2 linked regions of the Lytechinus pictus genome follow. The protein of the gene in region 2 purifies or fractionates together with the protein of the main gene of each other region. This does not show direct contact. Links are inferred from orthologs where the notes say so. Each region holds a gene or a part of one and is shown on either strand. Other genes may lie near its edges. The genes, in order: RAD50-interacting protein 1-like and vesicle transport protein USE1-like.

What was found.
Region 1: the proteins of vesicle transport protein USE1-like (region 2) and RAD50-interacting protein 1-like purify together in Homo sapiens (co-immunoprecipitation; 3 studies listed by BioGRID and IntAct, counting the BioPlex papers as one, with this or other methods). This does not show direct contact. The link is inferred for Lytechinus pictus from reciprocal best matches to the Homo sapiens genes USE1 and RINT1.

What each region holds. Positions count from the first base shown.
Region 1 is NC_087254.1:36,488,819-36,499,428, forward strand, and holds the start of RAD50-interacting protein 1-like, read right to left. Parts: upstream 4,208-10,610; 5' UTR 4,177-4,207; coding exon 4,009-4,176; intron 1-4,008. UniProt on the Homo sapiens protein: Involved in regulation of membrane traffic between the Golgi and the endoplasmic reticulum (ER); the function is proposed to depend on its association in the NRZ complex which is believed to play a role in SNARE assembly at the ER.
Region 2 is NC_087249.1:30,179,510-30,190,273, forward strand, and holds the start of vesicle transport protein USE1-like, read right to left. Parts: upstream 4,457-10,764; 5' UTR 4,272-4,456; coding exon 4,173-4,271; intron 1,324-4,172; coding exon 1,274-1,323; intron 811-1,273; coding exon 732-810; intron 265-731; coding exon 103-264; intron 1-102.

The sequences.
Region 1 (10,610 bases), on a different chromosome or scaffold from region 2:
CATCAAGTACAAGTAATATAAGAGAGACGAGCTTTAGCTCTCAAGGTTACATTAGCTATCAAGGTTAATTTTGCCAACAAGGTTAATTTTGGCTACAAGGTTAATTTTGTTGAAATTTTGGGGGCATCAAGTGCAAGTAATATAAGAGAGACGAGCTATAGCTCTCAAGGTTACATTAGCTCTCAAGGTTAATTTTGCCAACAAGGTTAATTTTGGCTACAAGGTTAATTTTGTTGAAATTTTTGGGGGCATCAAGTACAAGTAATAATAGAGAGATTATTCTCTAGCTATCAAGGTTAATTTAGCCAACAAGGTTAATTCGTTTCGACGATGTTATGAAGCCTTGCGCGGCTAGAAAATAGAAAAAGAGGGGAAATGGGGTTAGTGGAATGTAAACTTCTGAATAAACGTGCTGAATAACTGGAAAACTTGGGGGCATCAAGTACAAGTAATAATAGAGAGTTTATTCTCTAGCTATCAAGGTTAATTTTGTCAACACTTCTAGGATTACTCGCCGGATCACTGCTTTCATCAATTTTGGGGGCATCAAGTGCAAGTAATATAAGAGGATAGATGAGGAGGCAAGGATGCGCGCTCATCTAGATGCACCTGTTTGCGCATTTGTACTCGCATCTCATATGGGGTGCGCTAGCGCAAACCAGAACTACTTTCTATTTTTTTTTATAGTGAGAAAAGAAATGTTTACATTTTGGTAACGAAGAATCATCGGGAAATCAAGGAGTACCAAAAGGTAAAAACGTTCATGAGGAGGCAAGGATACTTGATGCCCCCAGGGGACATCAACTTTTTTACCTTGATTCGTGGATCCTCGACCCGACCCTGTTTATCATCGGCGAGTTGATATCCATCCGCGCGTGGTTCGGTTGATCGCGCAACAAATAAAGTAATTGGGGGCATCAAGTACAAGTAATATAAGAGAGACGAGCTTTAGCTCTCAAGGTTACATTAGCTATCAAGGTTAATTTTGCCAACAAGGTTAATTTTGGCTACAAGGTTAATTTTGTTGAGATTTTTGGGGGCATCAAGTACAAGTAATATAAGAGAGACGAGCTTTAGCTCTCAAGGTTACATTAGCTATCAAGGTTAATTTTGCCAACAAGGTTAATTTTGGCTACAAGGTTAATTTTGTTGAAATTTTTGGGGGCATCAAGTACAAGTAATATAAGAGAGACGAGCTATAGCTCTCAAGGTTACATTAGCTATCAAGGTTAATTTTGCCAACGAGGTTAATTTTGGCTACAAGGTTAATTTTGTTGAAATTTTTGGGGGCATCAAGTGCAAGTAATATAAGAGAGACGAGCTATAGCTCTCAAGGTTACATTAGCTATCAAGGTTAATTTTGCCAACAAGGTTAATTTTGGCTACAAGGTTAATTTTGTTGAAATTTTTGGGGGCATCAAGTACAAGTAATATAAGAGAGACGAGCTTTAGCTCTCAAGGTTACATTAGCTATCAAGGTTAATTTTGCCAACAAGGTTAATTTTGGCTACAAGGTTAATTTTGTTGAAATTTTGGGGGCATCAAGTGCAAGTAATATAAGAGAGACGAGCTATAGCTCTCAAGGTTACATTAGCTCTCAAGGTTAATTTTGCCAACAAGGTTAATTTTGGCTACAAGGTTAATTTTGTTGAAATTTTTGGGGGCATCAAGTACAAGTAATAATAGAGAGATTATTCTCTAGCTATCAAGGTTAATTTAGCCAACAAGGTTAATTCGTTTCGACGATGTTATGAAGGCTTGCGCGGCTAGAAAATAGAAAAAGAGGGGAAATGGGGTTAGTGGAATGTAAACTTCTGAATAAACGTGCTGAATAACTGGAAAACTTGGGGGCATCAAGTACAAGTAATAATAGAGAGTTTATTCTCTAGCTATCAAGGTTAATTTTGTCAACACTTCTAGGATTACTCGCCGGATCACTGCTTTCATCAATTTTGGGGGCATCAAGTGCAAGTAATATAAGAGGATAGATGAGGAGGCAAGGATGCGCGCTCATCTAGATGCACCTGTTTGCGCATTTGTACTCGCATCTCATATGGGGTGCGCTAGCGCAAACCAGAACTACTTTCTATTTTTTTTTATAGTGAGAAAAGAAATGTTTACATTTTTGTAACGAAGAATCATCGGGAAATCAAGGAGTACCAAAAGGTAAAAACGTTCATGAGGAGGCAAGGATACTTGATGCCCCCAGGGGACATCAACTTTTTTACCTTGATTCGTGGATCCTCGACCTGACCCTGTTTATCATCGGCGAGTTGATATCCATCCGCGCGTGGTTCGGTTGATCGCGCAACAAATAAAGTAATTGGGGGCATCAAGTACAAGTAATATAAGAGAGACGAGCTTTAGCTCTCAAGGTTACATTAGCTATCAAGGTTAATTTTGCCAACAAGGTTAATTTTGGCTACAAGGTTAATTTTGTTGAGATTTTTGGGGGCATCAAGTACAAGTAATATAAGAGAGACGAGCTTTAGCTCTCAAGGTTACATTAGCTATCAAGGTTAATTTTGCCAACAAGGTTAATTTTGGCTACAAGGTTAATTTTGTTGAAATTTTTGGGGGCATCAAGTACAAGTAATATAAGAGAGACGAGCTATAGCTCTCAAGGTTACATTAGCTATCAAGGTTAATTTTGCCAACGAGGTTAATTTTGGCTACAAGGTTAATTTTGTTGAAATTTTTGGGGGCATCAAGTGCAAGTAATATAAGAGAGACGAGCTATAGCTCTCAAGGTTACATTAGCTATCAAGGTTAATTTTGCCAACAAGGTTAATTTTGGCTACAAGGTTAATTTTGTTGAAATTTTTGGGGGCATCAAGTACAAGTAATATAAGAGAGACGAGCTTTAGCTCTCAAGGTTACATTAGCTATCAAGGTTAATTTTGCCAACAAGGTTAATTTTGGCTACAAGGTTAATTTTGTTGAAATTTTGGGGGCATCAAGTGCAAGTAATATAAGAGAGACAAGCTATAGCTCTCAAGGTTACATTAGCTCTCAAGGTTAATTTTGCCAACAAGGTTAATTTTGGCTACAAGGTTAATTTTGTTGAAATTTTTGGGGGCATCAAGTACAAGTAATAATAGAGAGATTATTCTCTAGCTATCAAGGTTAATTTAGCCAACAAGGTTAATTCGTTTCGACGATGTTATGAAGGCTTGCGCGGCTAGAAAATAGAAAAAGAGGGGAAATGGGGTTAGTGGAATGTAAACTTCTGAATAAACGTGCTGAATAACTGGAAAACTTGGGGGCATCAAGTACAAGTAATAATAGAGAGTTTATTCTCTAGCTATCAAGGTTAATTTTGTCAACACTTCTAGGATTACTCGCCGGATCACTGCTTTCATCAATTTTGGGGGCATCAAGTGCAAGTAATATAAGAGGATAGATGAGGAGGCAAGGATGCGCGCTCATCTAGATGCACCTGTTTGCGCATTTGTACTCGCATCTCATATGGGGTGCGCTAGCGCAAACCAGAACTACTTTCTATTTTTTTTTATAGTGAGAAAAGAAATGTTTACATTTTGGTAACGAAGAATCATCGGGAAATCAAGGAGTACCAAAAGGTAAAAACGTTGATGTCCCCTGGGGGCATCAAGTACAATTATGCCATATTTTTTCATTTTTTTGATGAATTCTTGTTTTCTAAATAACAACGAGAGCGTAGAAATGTCGGAAATGAAGTTTTATCCCATTTACATGATTTAGAGCTAGGCCCTAGATCTTTTAGAAGGAAAGTAGAAATCTTGGGGGCGAAAGTTTCAGGGTTTTTTGCAGTACACGCAGATGAATGGGGAGGAATGCCTGGCTTCGTATGAGAGTAACCTTACGTTAGTAAATGATTTTTACTCTCTAGAAGCCGCCTGGCTAGCCTGGCCATGCCCCTGGGTTAGATTGACTTGACGAGTGCTCCGGCTCCTGACTAGGCTATCCTACGTCAATGCGAGGGTGTGGGACTACAGTCTAAGGTATAAACAGATCTGAACAATTTACCTCTTGTTCTATCCTTGCCTTTTCCTCAAGTGCATCCTTAAGCATATCTTCGGTAACAGAGAGCTTTTTGATATCATTTCCTATCTGCATATCAATCATTCGACGTATTTCATCCGAATATCCAGGCAATGATGAGCCCGATTCTTGATGTGGTCCCTTCTCAGCCATCGTCGCAAAGTTTTTTCTTCATCCTTTTTTTTTTTTTTTTTTTTACGTGTACGTACGTACGTACGTACCGTACGCTGCCCAATTCTCGCTCACCCTCACAAGCGCGATGCGCACGCTGCTTATTATGATTATCATTTTAAATTCGTCCCAAATTCCTTATAGTTTAGTATACTCGCATAATTAAGCACCCAAGAGGAGACCATTACATGAAAAAACAAAGTGTGGAAAAATAAAATCAATCCCTTAATAAATCATCGTGAAATACTGCTTTAAATGTAAAGTAACCCGATAACTGTTTGAACTTCGATCAACTGTACCGCAACTGCACCAAATTACGTTTTTTTTCAATCACTTTAAAAACTCCTAAAAACAGTGAAAAATGTTATATTCTTATATGATGAATGAAAATGTGAGATTCGTAGGTGCGGGAGGTCCTGATATGTCGTCATGACAATTTTTTCTAGAATGAATATTTGTTGTGTGAATGAATTAGCGAGGGCATACCTTGAGATAGCAGCCTGCCCTAACTCCGCTCACCCTGATTGTGTATGATAATCATTGTAAGAGTATAGGGCCTAAACGGAATTGTCATAATTTTTCAAGTAGACTTTTCTTTAAAATCTGATTTTTTGTGTCATTTCCTCTATTTTGATGGTGCTGAACATGAATCCGCTTGTTGCCAGTTTCATAAATGCCTCCTTCCGCCGTTGCCATGGCAACTGATTAATATGTTTAAAAAAAAAGTTGATCCTATATATATGGCACATTACCCTGTCAATTTAAATGGTCCAATCTATCATTCTTAAGCCTTCCAAATTCAATTTCTAGATATAGGCCTATCAAGTCATCAAAGTATTTGCAAAAGATACATTGCCATGGTAACGGCTTATCTTTCCCGCAGAAAAATACAATTGTCTTGATTGCCTGCAGAGACATGCAGAGCGCCGCTTTTTCCGACGGCGCCGCGCGGGCGGCGTCGTAAACATTGAAATCTTAAAACAGGATAAGTTTGTGAAATGTAATCATAAGTTTGAAATAGGCCTACAGGTTTTTATAGCTATCATGAAACTTCGAAATAAGGGAGTCAGTGAAAATCCTATAGTGAGTTTCAGGTCATGCCACGGTCAAAGGTAATTTAAGGTCAATGACGGAACTTTGGCCAATGACGTTGGGGGCATTTATTGAATTGCCATCATAAATCAACATTATGGTGGGAAAAGATGAATGGTGGAAAATGACAATGAAAATGCCAAAATCTATGTAGGTTTGACTTAAATATCGAAAACAACAGAGTGTTCTGCATGGATATAAGTTCATTTGAATGCATGATAATGGTATGTTGCCATGGTAACGCCTGATTACTCTACTAATTCAACTCGTGAATTTAATATGAGATGAAAATTAAGTGTAAACAATGTAGGAATGTCTGAATTTATTTCAGGTCATAATTCATAATTTTTTGCTTGTCAAATTTTCCAGCCCCTTGCCCCCCCCCCCCCTACTTTTTGGGAGAGATTTCCGCCCCTGATTCAGAGAAAAAACCGAGACATTTTAAGCACTTTTGTAATGATGTTTTATGTTACAAACCGAGAATGACTTGAAAACAAGACATGAATAATGAAACAAACGGGCAATGCGGGTGCGAAGCGCAGGCTGAATAGTTATTTTGTTCTAAATGAAGGGGACAGGTATTTGTCGGTCCCCCAACTCTCATTTTCGTCTTGTCTTCTTCCTTTTATTTTCCTTCCTCTTAATCTTTTTTTTTTCATTTCATTATTTTCCTATTCCGGCCTTGATTGATACCTCTTCCGTTGTCTTTTTTGCGACGCGGCCATTTTTTCTTCTTTATACTCTTTTACATTTTCCTCTCTCACTTCTCCTATGATTTCTTCTCTATCTCCCCCTCTCTCTCCCTTTAGCTGAGGGTGACGGCAAATAAAAGCCCCTCGGTCGTCAACGATTTATCATGGAGCAGGCAGATAAGCTGACGTTTACAGAAATGTTGAAAGATGATCAAAAGAGTTTGTCACTGTTCACCAGAAATATTTCGAGATTTAATTGTAATCATTGTCCCGGCCCAAAGTGTTTGGGAAAAAGTTTTACAAAAATTATCTTGCTCTATAACGAATCGTAGGGTCATCAATGCTAAAAAATGAGACTTCGATGTTTATCACTAAATACCGACGTACAAACAACTTAGAGATATAGGGATAGTTTTTTTTTTTGTTCTGGGGTGAAGCCCCTCCCCCGGTTCCGCGGCCCCTGGCAGGCTGGCATGTCTTCTAGGCTATTATCGATCGTAATACTGTTTTTTTTATGTGGCGTATTCATATTTTGATGATTACCAATATTATTTACTCAGAGTATGACATTTAGGGATAATTTAATTGGAATGATGGAAATAGATGTGTAATTAGGCCTATATGTGATAACTTATGAGCCTAATGATACATATATTTTATGGTAGGCCCATATGCATTATCTGCATGCCTATCTGATTCATATCTATAAATCTAAATAAAATAAAGAATTTAAATGAATAAATAAGAAAAAATCTCCCACTAATGGGCCTATATATAGGCCTTTTGAACTCGGTCAGTAGTTTCCTGATTGATTTGAATAGATGAAACTTTGTCATGTTTCTGGAGATTTCCTTTTTTTAATTGTGTTTTGTTTGAAAACGGAACAGGATTTAAATTGACCAATTTATTTTGAACAAATATAATTTTTTTGAGTGCCTTTTTCCCTCTCCTATTATTGACGGAAGTTCGAATATGAACTTAAACCAGCGAGGTGATTAAATATTTATTGTTGTTTTTCAAGATGAGCTTTTTTTTAATGAAAGTCAATATAAGGGAATCCCCCCAAAAATATTATCGGAGTTCAGGGTTCAAGGTTTATGCACATCAACATTTCACATTTTCAAAAAATCAACAATTCAATACAAACAATAATATTATACAATAGGCCTACAAGTTTTCATAGATAAGCATAAATAAACATCGTAAAAATATGAAATGTGTACATAATATAACAATAGAAAAAAGTACTAGAATGTATTCTTGTAATTGGTTCTAAAATTATGACAAAGAAAGAAAATGAGAGATGTGGATATGAGGGAGCTAAAAGTAAAAGCAAAGCTTGTTGGTTGAAGGCTCCAAAGAATTATGCAGTGAGAGTCCCATAAAATATCAATACGACAAGAAAAAGTAAAGAGTAAACAAAAAAGTGGGATACACGAATACATATATACTTGATAAATAATGAGTCAAGATAGTGTAAAAGCAACAAATTTGATTTAGAACCTGAAGGAGGATGCAAATAATTATTTCAAAAAAAAAAAAATAATAATGGAAATCAATGGCCAATGGCATCTGGGGGCGATGAGCGGAAGGGACGACAAGGGGGGGGGGGGCACTCAAGTTGGATGAGTGGCGAAAATGATTACTTTGAATGGCGAATGTGCTAAAAGAGTTTTATAGCGTTTTATTTATAAGAATGTAAATTCATCAATATTCATATTTTAAGTTAATTAAGTTAACTTAACTATATCAAGCATGTTATTCTATTATATATATTGTTCTTTAAACATTTTTGTTCATGCTGACTCTTTTATCCGCTTCCGATTTTTTGTAAGCACCCTTATTATAGCACTGGTTAGGGTCATGGTCTTTATTGACAACAGTAATTTATTTGACCCAGTGGGTGCTCAATCTATATACTCTGTTAATGTTGTATTACATTAATTGTTCCAATTTCATATACTTTTCATTTCCGAAATGAATAAATAAATAATAATATACTCATAAAATTCACGAATGGATTAGAATCATATTCATATTATTAGACAATTGAAATCAGTTAAAAGTTTGTCGGGAAAGGTTTTTTGAAAATATGTATTTTATAAAAAATACGGAATAAAGTTTGGAGGATAAAAAAAACCGATATAAAGGCGTAGATCAGTAACAAAAAGTTACTTTGAGGCCCTAAAAATAATTGCACTTGGCGAAAGAAACATTTTATACAGTGTATAGTACTATAAAACTTGTATACAATACATTTAATCAGAACAAAATTACACACTTTCTCACTCAGAAGTGCAAGAGAAAAGGGTAGAAAAAAGAGTTAGACAGTATCAGGCCTTAACACCATGTATGAATGCGCGCGCTAAGCGAGCGGAGTTAGGGCAATGGTGAGCGGCGATTGGGCAGGCGCAAGGGGTGCCAAAAACGGCGAATTACGCAGCGGGGCTTCTAAGACATATAATTATTATCCTATGAAACGATTTTCCAGTATTTTCGCTTTCAGATGACATATGGAAGTAAGCATATCGTAGCTCATTGAATGAAACATAAAGGAAAATACGTAAACTGAGCGACGATTGGGCAGCGTACGGTACGTGTACCGGTATCTAGCGCATGCGCTCGAAGCTGATCAGATCCGCTACGCCCCTGATTACTTGTACCTGTAGATTAAAGTAAGGCTTTTTTTTGGGGGGGGGGGGGGGGGGCTTTACTCTAATAAAAAAGTCTAAAGAGTCAAGATAAATTTCTGATCGATCGATGTGCGATTTTCTGCTCACGCTTCATGCTCGCATTATTAATGGAGGAATTATGATTTACAAAACGTAGTGTCCTGTTTTTAGGTCTAAAATCTCAATTTTCTTCCACTCGCATTAATTGTTTAGTTATGCATGACCTATACCTTTCATGATTACAAAGTGCTTGGAATGGCCTTTTTTTAGGTTGGAATGGCCTTTTTTAGGTCGGAATGTTGAAATTTTCAACTCGCGCTGGCATTATTTTAATTGTTGAAAGAATTTCCGCTCGCGCTTTGGCGCTCGCACTTAAATCTATACGCATCTTGCCCAGGATCACAAACATTCAAGTTCCACAGAATGTTAAATTTTCAGGACAAAACTTGAGATTAAAAAAAAAATCTAATAGGGCTTATGAGATTATTTCATTTAAAAAAAATAAGAATAAAGCAAGAAGTGACTGATAAAAATATGCATGAAAACAAAACTGCCGCCCCCCCCCCTATCAGTGAGAGCTGGATCCGCCCCTGCCATGTCTATCCAGCGGAAAATTGACAAGTTGGGGGGCACATTCGTCTGAGTGGTACTCGCTCTGTCAGAACTGAATATTTTGCCAAGCTAAATTGGATGAAGTCTACCCCTTACCCCCACTTGTTGCCATTCTTATGCTGATATTTCCTCTTTTTATCACTTCTACTTAGGCCTATCTAAAAAAAAATGAATAAATCGCATGACATATACATGTACATGCAGGGCATTTTAACTTGAAATAAGATCTCATATGATGATCAAAAATTGTAATACGTACTTTCAAGCTAACAATTTGGATTGTGAGGTGATATTAATACTATAACACGCACATACATCTGCATTAAAAATTTGTTTTTCTCACGTAATTTCCGTTTACATTGTGAACAAGTTCAGTTTATCTATTGTGACTCATTCTTACTGGACTCCTCATAGTAGACGAGTTAGCAATTGGATGAATTGGCATTGGATCAAATGAAAATAAACCGAATCCTCAAACCGTCTTATTTACATATTCACTTTTTGATGACTTGAATTATCACGTTATGTAATAACTTCTGGAGATGAACATATGAATTTTGGTCACTAGTTTCAATCATTGTACCGCTTTCTGACTCGCATAACTCTATATTACAGCTGGTTAGTACAGAAAAGTCTAATTGCCGACTATAATGAATTTCAACGTACTATTTATGTCATCCTTCTTTCTTTCTTGTTCATTATTATCAGCAGCATCATCATCATCTTTATCTGCATCATCATCATCTTCTTAAGTTCTTCATCACTTTAATCACAATAATCTTATTCTTTCTATCGTCACCACCACCTTCATTTTCATCACCATCATCATAATCACCACCATCATCAACCTTCAACATCCTTTTCATCACCATCTCATCCGAACATCTCCCTCTATCTAGGCCGGGGTATTTTGGGAGTTCATATGGCCGGGGGGGGGGGGGGGGGGGGTTGAGATCTCTGCCGTCGACCGCGCCGAAAATTGGCACGCAGGTTGTCTGGGATATAATCTACAAAATTGTATAGTAATTTGTTTCATGCGAATTGTTATTAAGTAATTATGCTAATTTATGCATAATTAGGATGCAAAATCATATTTTTTCCTGTAACTCCATAAATAAAGCTCCAAATGTTCTAATTTTTGGCATAGAAACTCTTTGTGGTGTTCTTAGCAAGTTTAGAAGAAAAAAACTGTTATCAGATCAATTTCTATATTGTTTTTTGCAATTTCTTATGTATTTCTTTGTTTTTTGGACCCTTTGTTTTTCATTGTTTTTTCAATGAAATTTGTTGGGGACTCTTCTAAGATCATAAACAGCATAAAATACATACATTTAGACCAGCAAAACTA
Region 2 (10,764 bases):
ATTTGGCAAAAAGGTGCATTCCCCCATCACCCTAGTCTAGATATGACACTGGTTGATCATAGACCCCCCCTTCCCCCTCCCCCCCCCCCCAAGGGTACTCACATCTCCTAGTAGCTCTTTCCTCATCTCATTAGCATATCTTGAAGACAGCTGTTGATGAAGGTCTTTGGATCTCTTCACGGTTGGTGAGTTGGGGTGCTGGATACCAGATGTCTTCGCTGGAGCTAGTAACTGGGTCTTCATAGCTTTCTCACTGGCTGATGGCTAGAATATGAAACAGGCAGAAAACAGTTTTTGAATTTACAGGGGCTACTTTTCACAACTTACTGCCTAAATCTGCAAAATTGGATTTAAGCTTTAACACTGCAATGAATGGGAATTTCAAGGGCTCCTTTTTTTTTTATAGTAGTTTCCAGGGCTTCTTTGAGCATTTTGACCCCCATGGATTGTTTTCCCTGACATGAAACACACTGAAATTAAACCAACAAATGAAAGACACCCCATACATTCAAAACCACGCTGAGCTAGCTGTGAATATTTGTTTTGAATGTAAAGAAAAATAGGTCCATCAATATTAGAATGTTTCCCAACATTCTTCTATTTCTTCATCCTTCAAGCAGTATGAAGATACCAATTGGCGACTCTTTTAATTTCGAAGTCACATCTCTTTTTTTTTGAGGTGGTATATGTCACACTTTGGGCGTATTTTATATTACAGGTCTTGGCCTTACCAACTTTTCCATCTGAATAACTTCTTTTAGAAAATCAACCTTCTTACTGTAATCCTGCATCAGTTCAGCAGCTGGTTTCCTGTTAATGATATCACAAAAGGGTCAAAAGGATCTGATTAGGATTTCTAACAATCATAGAATATAAACTCCAGTGTCCCTGACTGTCCCGTTTTATGAAACTTGTTTTAATAACAGAATTATAACTGTTGAATTCTTGGTGTCTGACTGGCTGATAGAGAGTTTGTAAAACTACCAGGCCTGGTGAAAAAAAAAGCAATGTTTGTCGAGAGGCTATTGTACAATTCTCATTCCAAAATAGTTTGGCTCCCTCAATTAAAAAAAAATAAATTACCCATTCAAGCACTTGATATTAAAAGTACATTTTACTATCTTAAGTCGAATGCGATTTTCTCAAAGTTCTGTTAAAAAATCCCCACAAATTAAAAGAATATTCATCATTAATTCCCAAACTCAAAATTTCATGACGAGATGAATTATTTCAATTATACCACGATTAAGATGCATGTAGCTTATATACTTACATTTGAGATTTTTTCAAGTCTGCTAGCTTATCTTGTAGTGCACAGACATACTGTGGAGAAAGATAAAAATGATTATACAGACATTAGCCTAATCCAAAATCAGTGGGTGGAAATTAGATTAGAAAGAGTCAACTTGGTTTATAGTAGCTGCATCATTTTAATTCTTAAACATCACCATTGGCATTGCCATTGCATCAGAAACAAACAAAATTTTAATCAAAGCTTCTTCAACTTTAAATATTGTGCATTTAATTTGTATTCATTTCTGCAGTTGATTAAACTTAAAGGGATGGTCCAGACTTGAGATATTTATATCTAAATAGAGTAAAATTCACAAAGCAAAATGCTTAAAATTTGATCGAAATTGGATAACAAATAAGAAAGTTTATTGAATTTTAATGATTTGCATTATTCTGGTGAAACAGGTCTAGGCATGTCTTTATGAATATTCATTAGGTGGGCTGATGATGTCATATCCCCACTTGTTCTTTTGTATTTTATTATATGGAATTAGATTTATTTAAAAAATTTCTACCAAGAACTCAATCAATTGGATTGACAACTGATTAAGTGCATTAGTTATTTATTGCCGCAACTTATTTCATCATAATGGAGACACATCATTTACACATGTATGAAAAAAATGAAACATTTATGATTTCATGTAACATAAGAAAAAGGAAAGTGGGGATGTGAGTGTGACATCATCAGCCTACCTAATGAATATTCATGACGATGTGCATATAGCTGTTTTCACAAAATATTGATAAACTTTAAAATTCAATAACTTCATTATTTGTTATCCGATTTTGATGAAATTTTCAGCATTTTGCTCTGTGAATTATACATCCATTTAACTGTTTGTGTTAGACCTCTTGTAAAGCATGTAAGGACCACTCATTCAATGAACAAGGTTATGATATAACCTTGTTCTCAGTTACATCTCCATGTGTTGCAAAATAAGGGTAGCAATGTTTGGCTTATTTTCTCTTTTTCTTTGGGACAAATGCTTGATTTTTTTACACTGTCTGTTTCCATTACAGCTATTCATCATATAACTTGGCTCTTAAGTAAATTTGATTCTTTAAATTATTTTTTCTTAATTAAAAATAGAGATTGAAAAATGAAAATTTTCTTACCATATTACTTTCCACCAATAGAGGGCGTACACAAAAATGTGCCCAAAATTTTAGTTTTTGAGCGCTCTGGTGAATACAAAAATTAGTCCCTGGTTACTAATGAAAAATAAATTGCAACTTTATGGAATAGTAATTTTGGTCACAAAAGTGACATTTTAATGATTTTTTAAAGTGTGTGCTGTGTACAGCATTGGCATACCATAGTCCTACCTGTAGATTCCCCACAGGCAGGATGGTTGCAGTGAGCAAGTGGTAAGGACTTTGATATTGATGGTACTGTAGTGGTAGAATTTTATTAATTTAAGTTTATTTTTTTCCGTTTTGGTGCATTTCAGGCCAAAACGGAATAATAATCTTTATTTTGGTCCAGTTATTATTATATATTTTTATGAAATTAAGACAAAAATTGATAAGCCCCATCGGAGGGATTTTGCATTGTTAACCCCCAAATGGCAGCTGCACATGGCTCGCGATCGTGACTCAGCCATCTGTGTACAACCTGTCTGTGTACGAGGATAATTTTTTTTTTAATGTTTAAAAACTCCTCGAAACAGACGGCTGCCAGCTGCTGTCTAGTCTAGATCTAGACCAAAAGCTTCGGTCCCTGTTATACTTATGTTGGTTGTTCCACTGAACTCCGTTGGCTTCACTCACGAGAAAAAAAAAAAAAATGTTCAAAAACTCCTCGAAACAGACGGCTGCCAGCTGTCTAGTCTAGATCTAACTTGTTAGACCTTGGATTGGAAGAATGCACACCTTCCTAGCAATGCCAATAGGCAATAGCACGAAAAGTGATAAATAAAACTGATACTGATAGACAGGAATAACCGTCGTTTCTGGGGATTTATTCAACAATTTCTGACATTTTACTATAAATGTATTGGTGATAAGTGAGCCAACGCAGTTCGGCGGAACAACCAAAATACAGTATTACAGAGACTGAAGCTTTTGGTCTAGAAAAGTGACTGTCATATATTCTAGGATGACCTTTCTGGGCCGGTAACTTCTCCAGCGGCATTTCCGTATGTGAGTCTGACTGACTATTCCGATTCGGCGGCGCAGCATACCGGGATTACCTTGCCCCGGGAACCTCGACACGACGTCTTTAGTATAGTGAGTGATTGTATTACCGACCGGCCTTGTATTACCGAACGCGCGCATCATTCATACGCATCAGAAAAAAAATTCATACATTCAAAATTTCGCAACATCCTTCCAAAGAGAACTTGAATAGAAAGATGATGAAAAATTGTCAAAAACACATTTTCAAAGTCTTAATATTCTAAAAACAATAAAATATGGTCAAAATAGCTCATCAGTGATTTTGTTGTTTTCTCAACTTTTCCCATAGAAAACACACGTTCGGTAATACGATACCTTTTTCAAGTGACCAAAATATTTCACATGCGAAGAGGGGTCCGATTGGAAGCAAAAATCGTAAAAAGGAAAAACTATTTCGGCAAAAATTTTACATATTTATATTTTGTAGGTAATTGTGTATTTATGGTGAAAGTTTGGTGAATTTTATGAGAATAATGTGCTTGATATGATTGAATTCATGAAAAGTGTTCGGTAATACGATCCACTACCATACGTGTTCGGGTAACCCAGACTGGCCAGAGAGCGGGAGCTCTCTGGGTTAGTGTTCGGGCTGCCGCAGTAAGGATTACCGGCCCGTCATGCGCCGAGCCGGGCCGGGGCCGGTGCGGGCCAGACTGACGTTAGCGCTGGCGATGGATGCATTCGCAAAATCGGCTTACCTTTTCCAGGCGCCAATCCCCCGATCTATTTTCCGCAGCCATTTCTTCACATCTTATTAAAAGTCGTTGGAAATTTACTTCTTCACGAGAAGCTGGCATCTTTGATATAAAAAAGGATAACGTTAGTGTCGTTACAATCAGATGAGAAATAAGTGACGTGGACAAAACTGACGCAAATGTGATGTTAATATTCTGCTCATCGCCCGTCTGACACTGAAGTTATCAACCAATTTCGAAGACATCTCTCAATCTCGATCTCTGTCTTGATTTTTTATGAAGATTCTAAAATTAGAGTTAGTGATTTATAAGGAATCCTAATTTTCTCTCGTGAAAAAAAAATTCTAAAATTTCGGACGGGGGCATTATTACACAAAAAAATAATAATAGTGGTCAAGTTCACCTCAGTTTATTTTTTATGACAGCTGTTACTTGAAGTAATACAATGGATATGGCAGCCGGATGATAGAACAATATTTTTTGTTTTAAGTTGTTATTTATTGAATTCTTTCAATACATCATCAAGACAATATCACTTTTTTGTAACATGATACAAACAAAAAATATACATACATAGTTGTTTTATCATTCATTTGACTTGGAAATAAAAAGTAGTATCTGTAAGTATGCATAAGTACATATCGCTAATCATGATATTTTACATTGAACTGATTTTTAATATGAAATTCATAAAGTACTTGTACAGAATGAATGAAATTAAGCAAAATATATCATCCGGAGGGACAGGAACCCCACACCATACACATAAAACCAGAGAAAAAAAACCCACAACAACAACATCATGTACACTGATGGAGGGATCGATTGATCAGTCTATGATTGCAAAAAAAAAATATTGAATTTATATATATATATATATATATATTGTGTGAAAGAAATGGATGAAGAGAACAATGGTAGGCGTAGCTTAAATCAAGGTTCCCCAGAGCTATCTACCCTTTTTGGAAAAATTGGTGATGCCGAAAAAATGTCTCTGCCGGGAATCGAACCCGGGCCCCCAGCTTTGAACGCCGGTGCCTTAACCACTAGACCACAGAGACGGGTTAGTGGCTAGGGAGACCCCGATCCAATGGGGACATCCCGATAGACCGCGGGTCCGATAGACCGCGGGTCCGTTAGACCGCGGGTCCGATAGACCGCGGGTCCGATAGACCGCGGGTCCGATAGTCCGCGGGTCCGATAGTCCGCAGTGTGTGTAAAATTATGATCAGATATATCAAATGTTATCGAGAGGTCCAAAGGTCAAATGATACGAGGCCATGGGGTTCTATCAGGTGCGGATCCATGGAGGGCCGAGGGGGAACTGCCTCACCCCCCCCCCCACCCCCAGCTAAAAAAAAAGAGGGGGATCGAAGAGGGGAAAAGGGAGAGAATAAAAAAAGAAAGAGGAAGATGGGAAAAGAAGAGAATAGAAAAGAGAGTAAGAAGGAGAAAGGAAGAGAAGAAAAAGGGGAAAGGAAAGACAAAGAAAAAAGGGAGAAGAAAAGGGGAAAGAAGAGGGAAAAAAGAGGAGGGAAAAGGAAGAGAAGAAAAGAAAGGAGAAAGGAAAAGGAGGAAAAAGAAGAAAAAAAAGAGGAACGAAGAGAAGAATATTTAAATAGAGAGGAAGATGGGAAGAAAGATAAGAAAAAAGAGAGAGAGAGGAAGAGGGAAAGAAGAGAAGAAAGAGAGAGAGGGAGGAAGGGGAGAGAGAGGAGAAAAAATATTAAAAGAGAAAAAAGGGAGAAGGAAAGAAAAAGAAAAAGGGAGAAGTAAAGGGGAAAAGAGAAAAAAAGTGGAAGAGGGAAAAGAAAAGAACGGAGTAAGGAAAAGGGGGAAAAGAAGAAGAAAAAAGAGCGAGAGTAAGTGGGAAGAGAGGAAAAACAAGAAAAGAGGGAAAGAAAAGACAGCAAAAAGAGAAGAAAAGGGGGAAAGAAAAGATGGGGGAAATAGAAGAAAGGGGGGAAAAGAAGAGGGGGAAAGAAAGAGAGAAAGAAAGAGAAAGGAAGGAAGGGGAATTAGGATAAAAGAAAGAAAAAAGAAAGAAAAGGAGATGGGAAACGGAAGAGGGAGATGTTGACCTGGACGTCGATTTGATGGCGCCAAAATGACGTTCGAACTATGGGGCGCCGAATTGATGTTCGATCTAGCGGGGCACCAAATTGATGTTCGAACTAGGGGAGCGCTAATTTGAATTTTGACCATAATGCGACAAATACATGTTTCAGAGAGTGGAGGGAGGGCAAAGTTATATTTCACATGATGGGGGCGCCAAGTTTATGTTCAACCGAGGGCGCCAAATTGACCTTGAACTTAGAGGGCTTCATGCAAATTCATTTTCGACCGGGGACGCAACATTGCCTGTTTATAGTAAAATATATGTCCTGCCAAAAAACTTCAATTAATGCGGCTGAATTGAAATATCCCGTTTTTACGATAACAGAAAAAAAAATGTTTTCGAGTTATAAGTCTGTTTAGCGAGATAGATACCCTGTTCAGGGTCACAAAAAAGGGTTATTGTCAAATTCAGCTCGCGCTACGCGCTCGCAATATTTGATTAATGAGGTATGCATCCTCTGCTTCAATCCCACATGTAAGTGTTAGTGTTTTTCAAGTCAACATACATAGGTCGATCCAGGGGGCAAAGATTTTGCCCCCCCCCCCATGGTGGCGCAAAAAGGGGTAAGAAACAGAAAAAAGGAAGAGAAAAGGACAAGCAATTAGAATAGGAATTATACCTTAGTCCTTCTTAAGTCAGTATATAAATACAGCTCAATAGGCTGATATGTAGTTTAAAATATCAAGTTTTGATATCAATATACAAAACATAATTCAGCTCGGACATCGATCTTTCATTATTTTGTCTTATTTACCAATTTATGTTTTAAGTGCTCTGGAAAATGTCCGTTTTATGGTTTGAATCAACATTTGCAACATTTTGTGCGCTCGCACTATATGCCAAGTAGGCCTATGTATTGTCTTTTTATATTTAATATAAGATTCTCTAAATATACCTTTTCAGGTGTCTCGATTAAAAATAATAATAATAAAGGCCTATGAGCTAGCGCTGTGCGCTCGCGTTTTGATTGGTGAGTTATGTATACCTATATATTAATTTTATAACAAACTACTTAAATCCCCCCATTAAAAGAAAAATACGGATCGCGATTTGCGCTCGCATTATTTGCTAAAAATATATCAACCAATGAATCCTATTCATGATTACAAAAATACTTAAAATATCCAGTTTTCAGGCCTCATGCACTGTCAACAAATTTCACACACTCATTAGGCTTAACAGATTAATAAATATGAAATAAAATTTGTATAAATTCATTATAACTAAATTGTCCCTTTTTCAGAAATAAATTTTTAGGAAAACAAAGAGAAGATAGTCATCATTCTTATATGATGACAAAATGTCCTTAGGCCTAAAATGTCTCGATCCTAGGTCAAATAAATAATAAAATATCAGCTCGCGCTTCGCGCTCGCATTATTTTTATAGTGCTATCAAATTTCCCTATATACACAGTGCTGTAAACAGTGCTTAAATTGACCCTTTTTATATCGGAATTTCAAATATTATTTTCAGCTCGGGCTCTGCGCTCGCATTATTGATTTTTATGATGAAAAATGAAATGTATTCAGATTGCCAGGATTCTGTCTAACTCTAAAACACGCGCACGCATGTTTTTAGGATACAAAGCTTGATCTTATTCAAAACGTGCTAAAATTATCCAGTTTCGAATCAGAATATCAAAAAAATTTTGCTCGCGCTTTGCGCTCGCATTATTATTGTAGGAAGATACCAAAAATTACCCATCCTTTTTCATGATTGACAAACATGAATCGAATGTCCCATTGGGGGATTTGAAATCTCATCTTTTTAGGTTGGAATATCAAAAATGTTCAGCTCGCGCTTCGCGCTCGCATTATTTAATCGTTGAAATATGTATCGTCTTAATGGCTAACTGCAAAACATCCTTAACATGTCCCTTTTCGACCAGGCCAGAACGAATATTTAACATTTCTGCTCGGCTTCGCGCTCGTGGTAATTATCTAGTTATATACGCTGTTCAGGTTCACAAACATTGCCCAAAATGTTCAATTTTCAGGACAAAATACATGAAATTTCATTTTTAGATTACATAGGGCTTAAGAGATTATTACACATGTATGTTGCTTATAAAGTAAAGCTAGGAAATGACTGTTAGGACATGGGTGTTTTGCCCCCCCCCCCCCAAAAAAAAAAAAAAGAAGAAGAGAGAATCAAGACTAAGAAAAAATAGAGAGAAAAGGAAAGGGATAAGGATGAAATATAATATTATTTTCCAAATATTATGTCAAAATCTATCACAACCTTGTGTTTTTGTAATAAAAATGTCAGCATATTTGCTTGCTCGCTTCGCTCACTGGCAACTTCTTATTAATTTTATGCGATACACCATATCGATCCCCCTCGAAATTGTTGGCTCATTACGGCACTGGGACAACCCCTTCAAAGAAACAAAAAAAAAAATCAACTTTGAGCGGCCGATCGGGGAAAATATGGGTGAAAAAATGGCCCCTCCCCCTAATGGCGGAAGCTGGGTCCGCCCCTGACTTAGGCTTTCAGGATATAATACATGATAAATCTATACAAAAAAAATCAGATCGCGCTTCGCGTTCTCATTATTTATTTAGGCCTTGTGAGATACCTCAATTTGTTTTTAAGAATGAAATATCAGATTTTCTTTGACGTCTACCACCCCCCCCCCCATTTCATTTATTTTTTTAACTTGGTGCCCCCCCCCCCTCCCTCCCCACGAAATCCTGGATCTGCGCCTGGGTTCTATAACAATAACCCAATTAGGGCAATCACCCCCTGACAACTACTTCAAGGAAAATATTATCCCCATATTTTTACCGGCGGGGACTGATACCCCCCCCCCCCGGAAATTTACCCTCCAGATAATTACCCCGGATAATTACCCCTAGTATGGAGCCTTGAAAATGCCATTAACGTGACGACATGGCGTGGTACTTTATCTTGCCATGTCTTAATTAATCATTGGCGGCGGAAGGCAAAAAAAATTTAGGGGGGTCCACCTGAAATTTTGGGATGGACACAGGTAAAAAAATTGACAAGCAAATCAACCAAAATTTATAGGAAGGACCACCAATTTTGAACAATTTTTGACAAGAAAAAAGGTTATAAACCAAAATTAGGGGGACAAAAAGATTTTAGGGGGGGTCCACCTCAATTTAGGGGGGACGTAGAAAACAAATTGACAAGCAAAAAAAAGGTTCTCAACTAAAAATCTAGGGGGGACCGTCCCCCACCTCAAATTTAGGAGGAAAGGCCCCCCCCCCCGCTTCCGCCGCCTAAGTAATTAATACGCTTATTATTTTGACATAGCGATATATTCTATCTTGTCAAGTCGATATGTCCACATGGCGAGATATGAAGTGTACAAGCCCCGGCGAGAATCCCGATATATCGCTATGTTGACATGTAACTTATTTAAGTCGACTTGGCAAGATAAAATATCTCGCCATGTTGACATATAACTTTTTATAAGTGGACTGACTTGGCAGGATAACGTATCGCGCCATTATTTAGTCGACATGGCAAGATAAAGTATCTCGCCATGTCGTCAAGTCGATGGCTCCGTATGGCGTCTAGAGGGTAAATTTCCGGGGGGGGGGGGGGTAACAGTCCCTGACGATAAAATATGGGGATAATATTTTCCTTGAAGTAGATTTCAGGGGGCGATTGTCCTTTGGGTCATCGTTATAGAACCCCAATGGACTCGTATCATTGGCCTTTTGACCTCTTGATGGCATTGGATCTCACTATATAACCTGACCATTATTTTTACACAAACCGCGGGCTATCGGACCCGCGGTCTATCGGACCCGCGGACTATCGGACCCGCGGTCTATCGGACCCGCGGTCTATCGGACCCGCGGACTATCGGACCCGCGGTCTATCGGACCCGCGGGCTATCGGACCCGCGGTCTATCGGACCCGCGGTCTATCGGGCTGTAACCGATCCAATTGACCGTCAGATAGACAGATTTTCGACACCATACCAATTATAATTTCCTTTGTCGGGAAATATATATATATATATGTCTATAAAGTCAAAACTTCTTTCTTAAAAATATTATGTAAAAACAAACAAATATATGATACAAATCACATTACATGTACCTCCAAATATTAATTAAGTATATACCATATTTAAATAACTAACATGATTATTGTCATTCTGACAAACCATAGTAAAAAACACTTACTGATAGCATTTACAATTCATCTGTTCACTGTTATATTTGAATATATTATCATAACATATTCAATTAAATATGTAAACATTTATTGAGTTATCTTTAATTGGCCATGAAATCATAATAGGGAATTTCATTCAACAGATATTGAAAGTAACCTACAGTAATATGTACATGGCAACACCCACTGAAAATGATTTGTTCACACAATCAACTATCTCGAGATTTAAAAAATACGTTTTATACATAACATCTCATCTAACTTCTACACTCTTAAAATAGTTGGGCAAAATAAATGCCCAACTTTTAAAACATGGGCAA